3 linked regions of the Saccharomyces cerevisiae S288C genome follow. Changing the gene in region 1 together with any one later gene gives a genetic interaction. Each region holds a gene or a part of one and is shown in the gene's direction. Other genes may lie near its edges.

The links.
Region 2: mutations in MKK2 (region 1) and COX7 together harm fitness more than expected from each alone (negative genetic interaction), as found in Saccharomyces cerevisiae (3 studies listed by BioGRID).
Region 3: mutations in MKK2 (region 1) and RPL22A together harm fitness more than expected from each alone (negative genetic interaction), as found in Saccharomyces cerevisiae (2 studies listed by BioGRID).

The regions. Positions count from the first base shown.
Region 1 is NC_001148.4:287,174-290,938, reverse strand, and holds MKK2 (putative mitogen-activated protein kinase kinase MKK2), read left to right. Parts: upstream 1-1,904; coding exon 1,905-3,425; downstream 3,426-3,765. Other genes in the region: UME1 (Ume1p), read left to right, coding at 1-1,270. UniProt on the Saccharomyces cerevisiae protein: Serine/threonine protein kinase involved in a signal transduction pathway that plays a role in yeast cell morphogenesis and cell growth.
Region 2 is NC_001145.3:778,372-781,219, reverse strand, and holds COX7 (cytochrome c oxidase subunit VII), read left to right. Parts: upstream 1-2,092; coding exon 2,093-2,275; downstream 2,276-2,848. Other genes in the region: PET111 (Pet111p), read left to right, coding at 1-1,591; GFD1 (Gfd1p), read right to left, coding at 2,653-2,848. UniProt on the Saccharomyces cerevisiae protein: Component of the cytochrome c oxidase, the last enzyme in the mitochondrial electron transport chain which drives oxidative phosphorylation.
Region 3 is NC_001144.5:261,173-264,453, forward strand, and holds RPL22A (60S ribosomal protein eL22 RPL22A), read left to right. Parts: upstream 1-2,021; coding exon 2,022-2,033; intron 2,034-2,422; coding exon 2,423-2,776; downstream 2,777-3,281. Other genes in the region: FRS1 (phenylalanine--tRNA ligase subunit beta), read left to right, coding at 1-1,594; BMT6 (25S rRNA (uracil2843-N3)-methyltransferase), read left to right, coding at 2,985-3,281.

The DNA.
Region 1 (3,765 bases):
TGGCTCAGGCGTTGACGAATCTCCATCGACACTTAGGAGTATAGTTTTCACTAACGATAGCTCATGTAATAAATCCAAAGGTGTTTTGAGCGTACCACTTTTATATTCTCAAGGGAGTGAAATCTTTGAGGTGGATTGTATAGTGCCACTCGGACTTCATTACAAAAAACCTGAAAGCATTTCAGAACCGTTAGTACAACCGGATTATACCATGGAATCTCAAAAGGTGGAGCAGACTGTTTTGATTCCAAAATGGGAATTTAAAGGTGAAACGATTGCAAAGATGATTTACGTGGATAACAGCGAAATAAATGTAAAGGTGATAGCCCTTTCTACCAATGGTTCTTTGGCATGGTTCAGAGAAGGTGTCAAATCGCCCGTTTACACAATGATGGAGCCATCCACTTCTCTAAGTTCAGCATCGTCCGGAAATCAAAATAAACCCTGTGTTGATTTTGCAATTTCTAACGATTCAAAAACCTTAACAGTAACTAAGGAAAAACATCTTGATAATGAAAACGCTACAATAAAATTGATAGACAACTCAGGTAAAATAGGAGAAGTGCTTCGTACAATACCTGTTCCTGGCATAAAGAATATTCAAGAAATCAAGTTTTTGAATAATCAAATATTCGCCACTTGTTCTGATGACGGTATCATAAGGTTTTGGGGTAATGAGATAGGCAAAAAGCCCCTTTGGATTCTAAACGATTCTTTGGACGGCAAAACAACTTGTTTTGCTGCATCACCGTTTGTTGATACATTATTTATGACGGGAACTAGTGGTGGGGCTCTCAAGGTTTGGGATATACGTGCAGTTATCGCTTTAGGGGATGCTGATGCTGAGTTAAATATCAACCAAGGACATAATAAAGTCAATGAACTATTCAAAGTTCATCACTTTTATAGCGAGCAAGTGTCCAAAATAGAGTTTTCTTCCATTTCGCCTATGGAAGTGGTTACAATTGGAGGGTTAGGTAATGTTTACCACTGGAATTTCGAACCTGTTTTTGCCATTTATAACGAGATACATGAGGACTTTCAAGGCATAATATCTGACGAATTGGAGGCCGAAAGCATGGCATTTTATCACACTGAGGGCTGCAGAAGAGAAATAGGAGAAAATAATAAGGTTAATACCGTTGCTTATCACAAATACATTGAGGATCTAGTTGCTACAGTTGATAGTGACGGGTTGTTAACTGTATATAAGCCGTTTACTGGAAAAGTTTTAGATGGCAGTAGAGAGGTTGGAGCTGCCAAAAGTTAATTTTTATATTATTTAGGCTGTTTGAGTTTGGGGCGGAAATGTATGAATAAATTGTGTAATATTTAGTCTTTACTTCAGCTTTTGTTTTTCTAAAAATTTGTTTTTAATGTTTTATTGTCTGAAGTAAACATTAATTATTAGCTTGAGAATTGCTCTACATGTATATATAAACGGCAAGGATCTACTCTTTAATATAGAGAAATGTACATACCTTTGAAAACGCGTTTTCAGAGTTTAGAATGTATAAGGTAACCTTAGAACCACATCTCTTATTGCCAGACTCTCAAAGGTGAACTGATATTGAGCCTATTTTACCCTTGTTTATGTTCACTTTCTCAATGCGAAAAAAAATCAAAAAGAAATAAACTTTATCCTTAGAGTTGAAGAATTAGAAAGAGAATAAATCAAAGGGATCAGTTGGGAAAGCTCAATACTTTCCGCTTAATTTTACTGAAAACCTCATCAAACACGTAGGCACATATATATTCATATATTTATATGTTGGCTACCTTCTAATTTGCATGAAATTCGTTCGCTCAAAAAATTAGACATTTTACTAGTAGCAAGTATTACCTGATTAGCATAGCAGGCACTGTTATCATATCTACAAAATACCAATTATATACACAGGATAATGGCTTCAATGTTCAGACCACCAGAATCCAATAGGAGTCACCAAAAGACTCCAAAATTAACGCTTCCAGTAAATTTAGTTCAAAATGCGAAATCCACTAATGATGGGCAACATCTCAACCGGTCACCGTACTCGTCAGTGAACGAAAGCCCATACTCCAACAATAGCACTTCAGCTACTTCCACTACGTCATCCATGGCTTCAAATTCCACTTTGTTGTACAATAGATCATCTACTACAACTATTAAAAATAGACCGGTACCACCTCCATTACCTCCCCTAGTACTAACGCAAAAAAAAGACGGTATAGAATATAGAGTTGCCGGCGATAGTCAGCTTTCTGAAAGATTTTCTAATTTGCATGTTGATATAACTTACAAGGAACTACTATCTAGTGCTCCAATTTCCACTAAGTTATCCAACATAGATACCACTTTTATCAAGAAAGATCTCGACACACCAGAAGGCGAGGATTCATACCCCTCGACACTTCTTTCTGCGTACGACTTCAGCAGTAGCGGGAGCAACTCCGCCCCTTTAAGTGCAAATAACATAATTTCTTGTTCCAACTTAATACAAGGAAAAGACGTAGACCAGTTAGAGGAAGAAGCATGGAGGTTTGGGCATCTCAAGGATGAGATTACTACACTAGGAATTCTAGGAGAAGGCGCGGGTGGTTCTGTAGCCAAGTGCCGATTAAAAAATGGAAAAAAGGTTTTTGCGTTGAAGACAATCAACACTATGAATACTGACCCAGAATATCAAAAGCAAATATTCAGAGAGCTACAATTTAATAAGAGTTTTAAGTCCGATTATATTGTGCAGTACTATGGTATGTTTACCGACGAACAGAGTTCTTCAATATACATTGCCATGGAATATATGGGAGGAAAATCACTGGAGGCAACGTATAAAAATTTGTTGAAACGTGGCGGTAGAATAAGTGAGAGGGTGATAGGAAAGATAGCAGAATCTGTCTTAAGAGGTTTATCATACTTACACGAAAGGAAAGTCATCCACAGGGACATTAAACCCCAAAACATTCTTCTTAATGAAAAAGGGGAAATCAAATTATGCGATTTCGGTGTCAGTGGGGAGGCTGTTAACTCTTTAGCGATGACATTTACTGGAACGTCATTTTATATGGCCCCAGAACGAATACAAGGCCAACCATACAGCGTAACCTGTGATGTATGGTCCTTAGGATTAACTCTTCTGGAGGTTGCTGGAGGGAGATTTCCATTTGAATCTGACAAAATAACGCAAAACGTGGCTCCTATAGAATTATTGACGATGATCCTGACGTTTTCTCCCCAGTTGAAAGATGAGCCAGAACTAGACATATCCTGGAGCAAGACATTTAGATCTTTTATCGACTATTGTTTAAAAAAAGATGCCAGAGAGAGGCCTTCTCCCAGGCAAATGTTAAAGCATCCCTGGATTGTAGGGCAAATGAAAAAAAAAGTCAACATGGAACGGTTTGTAAAGAAATGCTGGGAAAAGGAAAAGGATGGGATATAAACTTCCAACATTTTCCTCTCGTAACCAGAACTGACTTTTTCTACAACAGGAATTCTTTAACGAGACTTCTCCTCCTTCACCATTCATAAGTTTAACGATGTTCTTTTATTATCTAGACACTCCGAAATATTCTTAACATATACGTATATAGTTTACTGAAAACCGAACTAGCCATGGGCTATGAAAGTTCTCCTATTTCCTTACTTACATCAAATAGAAATGCGCATCCAAGTCTTTCTGGCAGGCACGCTATGATGTGCTAAATTATGACTCAAGTGAGTACTAGGCGCTTTTGTACTCAGCCGCGCGGGGAAAATTTCTTCCCTCCCTACCAAAGAGG
Region 2 (2,848 bases), on another chromosome or scaffold:
GTTGAAAGTGAAATGTGGTGATGAGCAATCCTCTTCAACTAACCTTCCCTCGTTCAAAACCCTCGCGATAATACACAGAATGTTATTACGTTTTTCTAATACAGATGAGCTAAACGATTTTTTAACCAATCCCGTTGTTTTAAGTACGGGATATACATCAAGTGTGCAGTTTGAGTTGATTGAATTTTGTCATTCTCTGTATTGCATCAAAGGAGACAGAACAAAAAGCATTGATGACTCAATATTGATGGAAAGAGTTGATAAATTTATTACCAGACTTAATAATAATATTTCAACACGAAAAGAGCTATATATGTCAGTGGTTCAAGCGTACGTCTCTACTAACAATTTCGAGAATTTAAAAGTAATCTTGGAAAAAATCCAGAGAGATAATGATATTAGCATAGACGGTTCGTTTCATTTGTGCATTTCTAGGTATTTTGTCAACACCAATCAATTCGAAGGACTTTTCAAATATTATCGCAGTGTAGTTAAAACCACTGATGGTAAAACGCGATTACGGCCCGCATTTATTCAACAATTATGGTCATGTGCCGTAAATGTTTATCCAATGCTGGCAAAAGAAATTACAAATGACCTACTTGTGACTCTAAAAAGGAGCCAATACAGCAAATGTCTCACTTGGGTGTACACATTTTTACAAGAAAATGCCCATATCCATACGAGAAAGATCAATGGAGGAGAAGACTCTTCGTTATCTGGTTTCAACGCGGTTGATTTTGAAAGGTTTGAAGAGTTCAAGAAAAAAGTTTCTCACAATGATGTATATGGAGCAGAATTGGTGATTTCGAATAGTTTGAAGGAGGGCATTGCGCCTCAATTTTCATTTTTGTATTCCGTTTTGGCATTATGCTTGAGAAACTCTTTAACTGGTTTGGCACGTGTAGTTGATGTGATATTAAGGACCAGATTCCGCTATATCCCACTAAAAGTCGATATATTATGGTTGAAATGGGAGATCATTTCTAATTATAGATCTTTTGAAAAGTTGTCTGCTGAACATTTAAAAGAACTGGAATTCAAACTGAAGGAATTTGAACGAGTACATCAAAAGGAGCTTTCAGTTCAAAACTATTTACAACTTACTCAAATATGTTTCCACACCCGTGATTTCAAATATGCATGTTACCTAATTTCACAAGCTAGAAAAAATTTGGATACTTCAAATAACAAACAGTGGATGATGTATTACATGACATCTTTAAAGTTGGCGTCAAGAATGCATGAAAGCGAACGGTTTAGTAGGATTTTAAAAGACTGGAATTGTAATCATAGGGCAAGCCTGATTACTCCAGGTTGCATTAGACAAATCAAAGGCTTTATGAAATATTTTGAGAAAAGGCCTGCTTACATTTCAACTGCTGCTTCCATTGATAACAAGGAGATAAAGGATCGCATTGACGAGTTAGTACTTAGATATGTGGACTATAAATACCAGGGGCTTGAGAATATGAGAAAGTTAACACTTTTCTTAAAAGAATGGTTTGATGAAGAGATTTCACTATTAAAGTTGGAGCAAAATGAAAGGAAAATGAAGCTTTTTGAAGAGAATAAAAAGGAGGAGGAGTAATCTTTTCAGTTATTTACCTTCCTTTCTCTCACGTGTAAATATTTGTGTGTCATACACACCGCTAAAAACCTTTGCATCAACTTATACCCTACATTTCTATAGACGCTATTTGGAAACAAGATGTAACCCTTTTTTTCTTTTAGTTTTGAGATTTGTACTCGTAAAGAGTACGTTTATTTATTTATTCAAATTTTATTCTTCATACCATGTAAATATAAGCGCATATAATCACTACGATCTTAGTACAGCTAGAATTGCTGACGCTTACAATTGCTTTATTGTTTGATTATATGCACGTATACATATAGTGTCAGCAAAAAAAAAAAAAGGCAGTACTTGATTGGCTACGCCGCGCATCGTCCGAGAAATCCGGCCTGGTAGGGGCAGGTTTGAAAAGGCGGATAGAAATAAAAGATGATATTATTTATTCATCCCATGAATAGTAGAACTCGATATAAGATTCTAAACCAACAAGTACAGAAAGCAAAACAATAATAAATAATGGCTAATAAAGTTATTCAACTACAGAAAATCTTCCAATCTTCCACTAAACCTCTATGGTGGAGACATCCAAGGTCAGCTTTATACCTGTATCCATTTTATGCTATTTTTGCGGTAGCCGTCGTTACACCACTTCTATACATTCCAAATGCTATTAGAGGTATCAAAGCCAAGAAGGCATAGTTAGGTAAAAATAACATCCGTTCATAGCATCTTTATAATTGTTCTTTGATATTAAGTGTGTATGCTCAATACACATCACCCAAAACATTTTTATTCGAAATAAGATGAAAGCCATTTATTTATATATACATATATAATATTCTAAAGAATAAGGAAACAACTAATCGAACTAGCATAGCCTTTTCCATCTTTGTTTTCTTGCGCAGTAATAAATCGTTTCAGTTAGGCCTGGCAATAAAGATTTGCTAATCATTGAAAAAGGTGTGATTGATTTTCTCACTTGAAGTATGTCTAGTATTTATTAAACAATTATAATGGTGTAAACTAATGTCTCTTCAAGCAAAACGTGCTTAAAAGTGTCCATGTGATGGGAGGGATCATATTTTCAAAGAGGTCTTCAAACGTTGAAGGATAAGCTCCTCTTCATCATCGTCAACCCAGTTGGAGCTCCCTTCATCGTTCAGAAAATCCATCAACACTTGTTGCTGTTGATTCTTGTGATGAGTCTTTTGCAATATTTCCCTCTGCTCTTCAATTTTCTTTTTTAATAACTTCATCTTAGAAGCGGTATCC
Region 3 (3,281 bases), on another chromosome or scaffold:
TATCGAAGGTATTTCACAGTCGCTGAACGAATACTTGGAACGTAAAGAAAGACCTGACTATAAATTAAGCAAGCCAACCACTAAGTTGATCATCGACAAATCAACGGAGCAAATTAGACCTTTTGCTACCGCTGCTGTATTGAGAAATATCAAGCTTAACGAAAAATCTTACGCTTCTTTTATTGCCTTGCAAGATAAATTACATGCCAATCTATGTAGAAACAGAAGCTTGGTTGCCATGGGTACTCACGATTTAGATTCAATTGAAGGTCCATTCCATTACAGAGCTCTACCACCAAAGGACATCAAGTTCGTACCATTGAATCAAACCCAAGAGTTTACTGGTGACAAATTGATCGAGTTTTATAAATCTCCAGAACAGAAAAACAACATAGGGAGATACGTTCACATTATTGAGGATTCTCCAGTCTTCCCAGTTATTATGGACAGCAAAGATCGTGTTTGCTCCCTGCCACCATTAATCAATAGTGAACATTCGAAGATCTCTGTGAACACCCGTAACATTTTGATTGATATAACCGCCACCGATAAGACCAAAGCCGAGATCGTTTTGAACATATTAACTACAATGTTCTCACGTTATTGTGACGAACCATTCACGGTTGAGCCTGTAGAAATTGTCTCTGAACACAATGGCCAATCCCGTTTGGCGCCAAACTTCAACGATAGAATTATGGATGTCTCCATTAAGTACATCAACTCCTGTCTTGGCCTAGATCAATCCGCTGATGAAATTGCTCATTGTCTAAAGAAGATGTCGTTGCATGCCGTTCAATCAAAGGAAGACAAGGACATCTTGCACGTTGACATTCCGGTAACTAGACCTGATATTTTGCACGCTTGTGATATAATGGAAGATGCCGCTGTCGGTTATGGTTTCAATAATTTGCCAAAGGGTGAGAAATTATCCAATGCCAACTTCATTGCCAAACCATTACCAATCAACAAGGTTTCTGATATTTTCAGAGTTGCATCCTCTCAAGCCACGTGGGTTGAGGTTTTACCATTGACCTTATGTTCGCACGATGAAAACTTTAAATTTCTAAGACAATCCGACAATGGTGATTTAGCTGTCAAATTGGCCAACCCAAAGACTTTGGAATACCAAGTTGTTAGAACCACTTTATTGCCTGGTATCTTAAAGACAGTCAAGGAAAACAGAAAACATTCCTTGCCAATCAAAGTCTTTGAAACCGGTGACGTTGTATTTAAAGACGACAAACTAGAAAGGAAGGCGTACAATGAACGTCACTGGGCTGCCATCTACGTGGGTAAGAATTCTGGGTTTGAAATCATTCAAGGGTTATTGGGTAAAATCATGCAAACTTTTAGAACAGAGTGGATTGCAGACTACGGTGCTGCTGCTTCTGGCAGAGGTTACTGGATTGAAGAAGACGATTCTGTGAAAACCTACTTCCCAGGTAGAGGTGCCAAGGTCATGTTCAGATCCAAAGAAGGCGCTGAGCCAAAGCAAATCGGCCACTTGGGTGTCTTGCATCCTGAAGTCATGATGAATTTCGACGTTCCATTCGCTGCATCCTTTGTAGAGGTTAATGCCGAAGTCTTCCTATAATGTAATGTTCTAACAAAAATTTTTACTGATTTATAAAACTTATATAGATAGATAGACACATATATATATCTATATATAGAAACACAACTAAAGTTTACCATGTTTTATATAATATTACTACCGCTACTGAGTAAATGTTTAGCTTGTACTTAACTTTCAAAGACAGTTTTTTTGATAAACATCAGTACATTTAATAATACATCCATACATTTATGTTAATTTGTTTTTCCTTTCCACCTCAGTGCGCTTCTCTTTTGAAAAAATCCTCAACAGGCCACGCGAACAAATCTTACCGAGAATTTCCTAAAATGTTTCAAACTATCATTTAGCTGCATACAATATGTACATTATTAATTGAGATTAACAACTTTACCTGTACTTTACCGTTATCAAATTATAAACCACCAAAACAACAGATTAAGAAACAATGGCCCCAAACGTATGATACTTTAAAAGGAATCCACGCCCGATTACGAAGTCTATGTTTTACTGTTATTGTAATGATTGATTGTACGCGAATAACAAGGAAGATAGTAAAACCAAAAAAAAAAAAATAAAAATGTACGAAACGAAGAAGCGTCTATGTGTTTAGTTGCTTTTCTGTATTTTAAAAATTCACTACTTGAACATTGAACTCTATATCGACTCCCTTCTTTTTATCCGTTTCTGAATGTTTTTTTGTTTGAGATTGTCATATGTGATTGTTAATAGCAGTAGGCAACTTTGTGGTTTCGGGATTGAAAGAAAATCGTGAAATATTCGTTTTTTACTAACATTACTGTTCTGAAAATTTTTACTAATTTTCAATCTTTAATTTTTTTGATATAGACTTCCAGAAAGCAAAAGATTGCCAAGACCTTTACCGTCGATGTCTCTTCTCCAACTGAAAACGGTGTCTTCGACCCAGCTTCCTACGCTAAGTACTTGATCGACCACATCAAGGTCGAAGGTGCTGTCGGTAACTTGGGTAACGCTGTCACTGTCACTGAAGATGGTACCGTTGTTACTGTTGTTTCCACTGCCAAGTTCTCTGGTAAGTACTTGAAGTACTTGACAAAGAAGTACTTGAAGAAGAACCAATTGAGAGACTGGATCAGATTTGTCTCTACCAAGACCAACGAATACAGATTGGCCTTCTACCAAGTCACTCCAGAAGAAGACGAAGAAGAAGACGAAGAATAAATTCATTAATATTATTTTAAATAGAGCATAAGTTTTGTATAATTAAAATCTTCTAAACCTAATAAATATGTTTAATGAATGATTCAATATCAAAAAAAGAAATCCATTGGGCCCTTAGTGCATTTTTATTTTTTTTTTTTTTTTTTTTTTTTTTCTCTTTCTGAATTAGAGTACATCTCATCGCAGGGTCTCTTTTTGCACGTTTTTGATGTTGCTTATGAGACGCTTTGCCTTTTTAACTTCTTCAGTATATTTTAAATATATACCAATTTATTCACAATATCATTACTCTTCTCAGTTTCCAATTAACATGAATCCTAAAAAAGTGGCCCAATTGCCCGTTCACAATAAATCAACGCTTCCACCACAGGAAATAATCGATCTTTTTAAAATAACATTCTTAGAAGAGCTATATCCAAAAGATCAAGACAATGAAAAGTCACCGTTAACTGAACAAATACAGGCGGTAAAATCTGACCTTTATAACAGAGATTACAATGCTGCT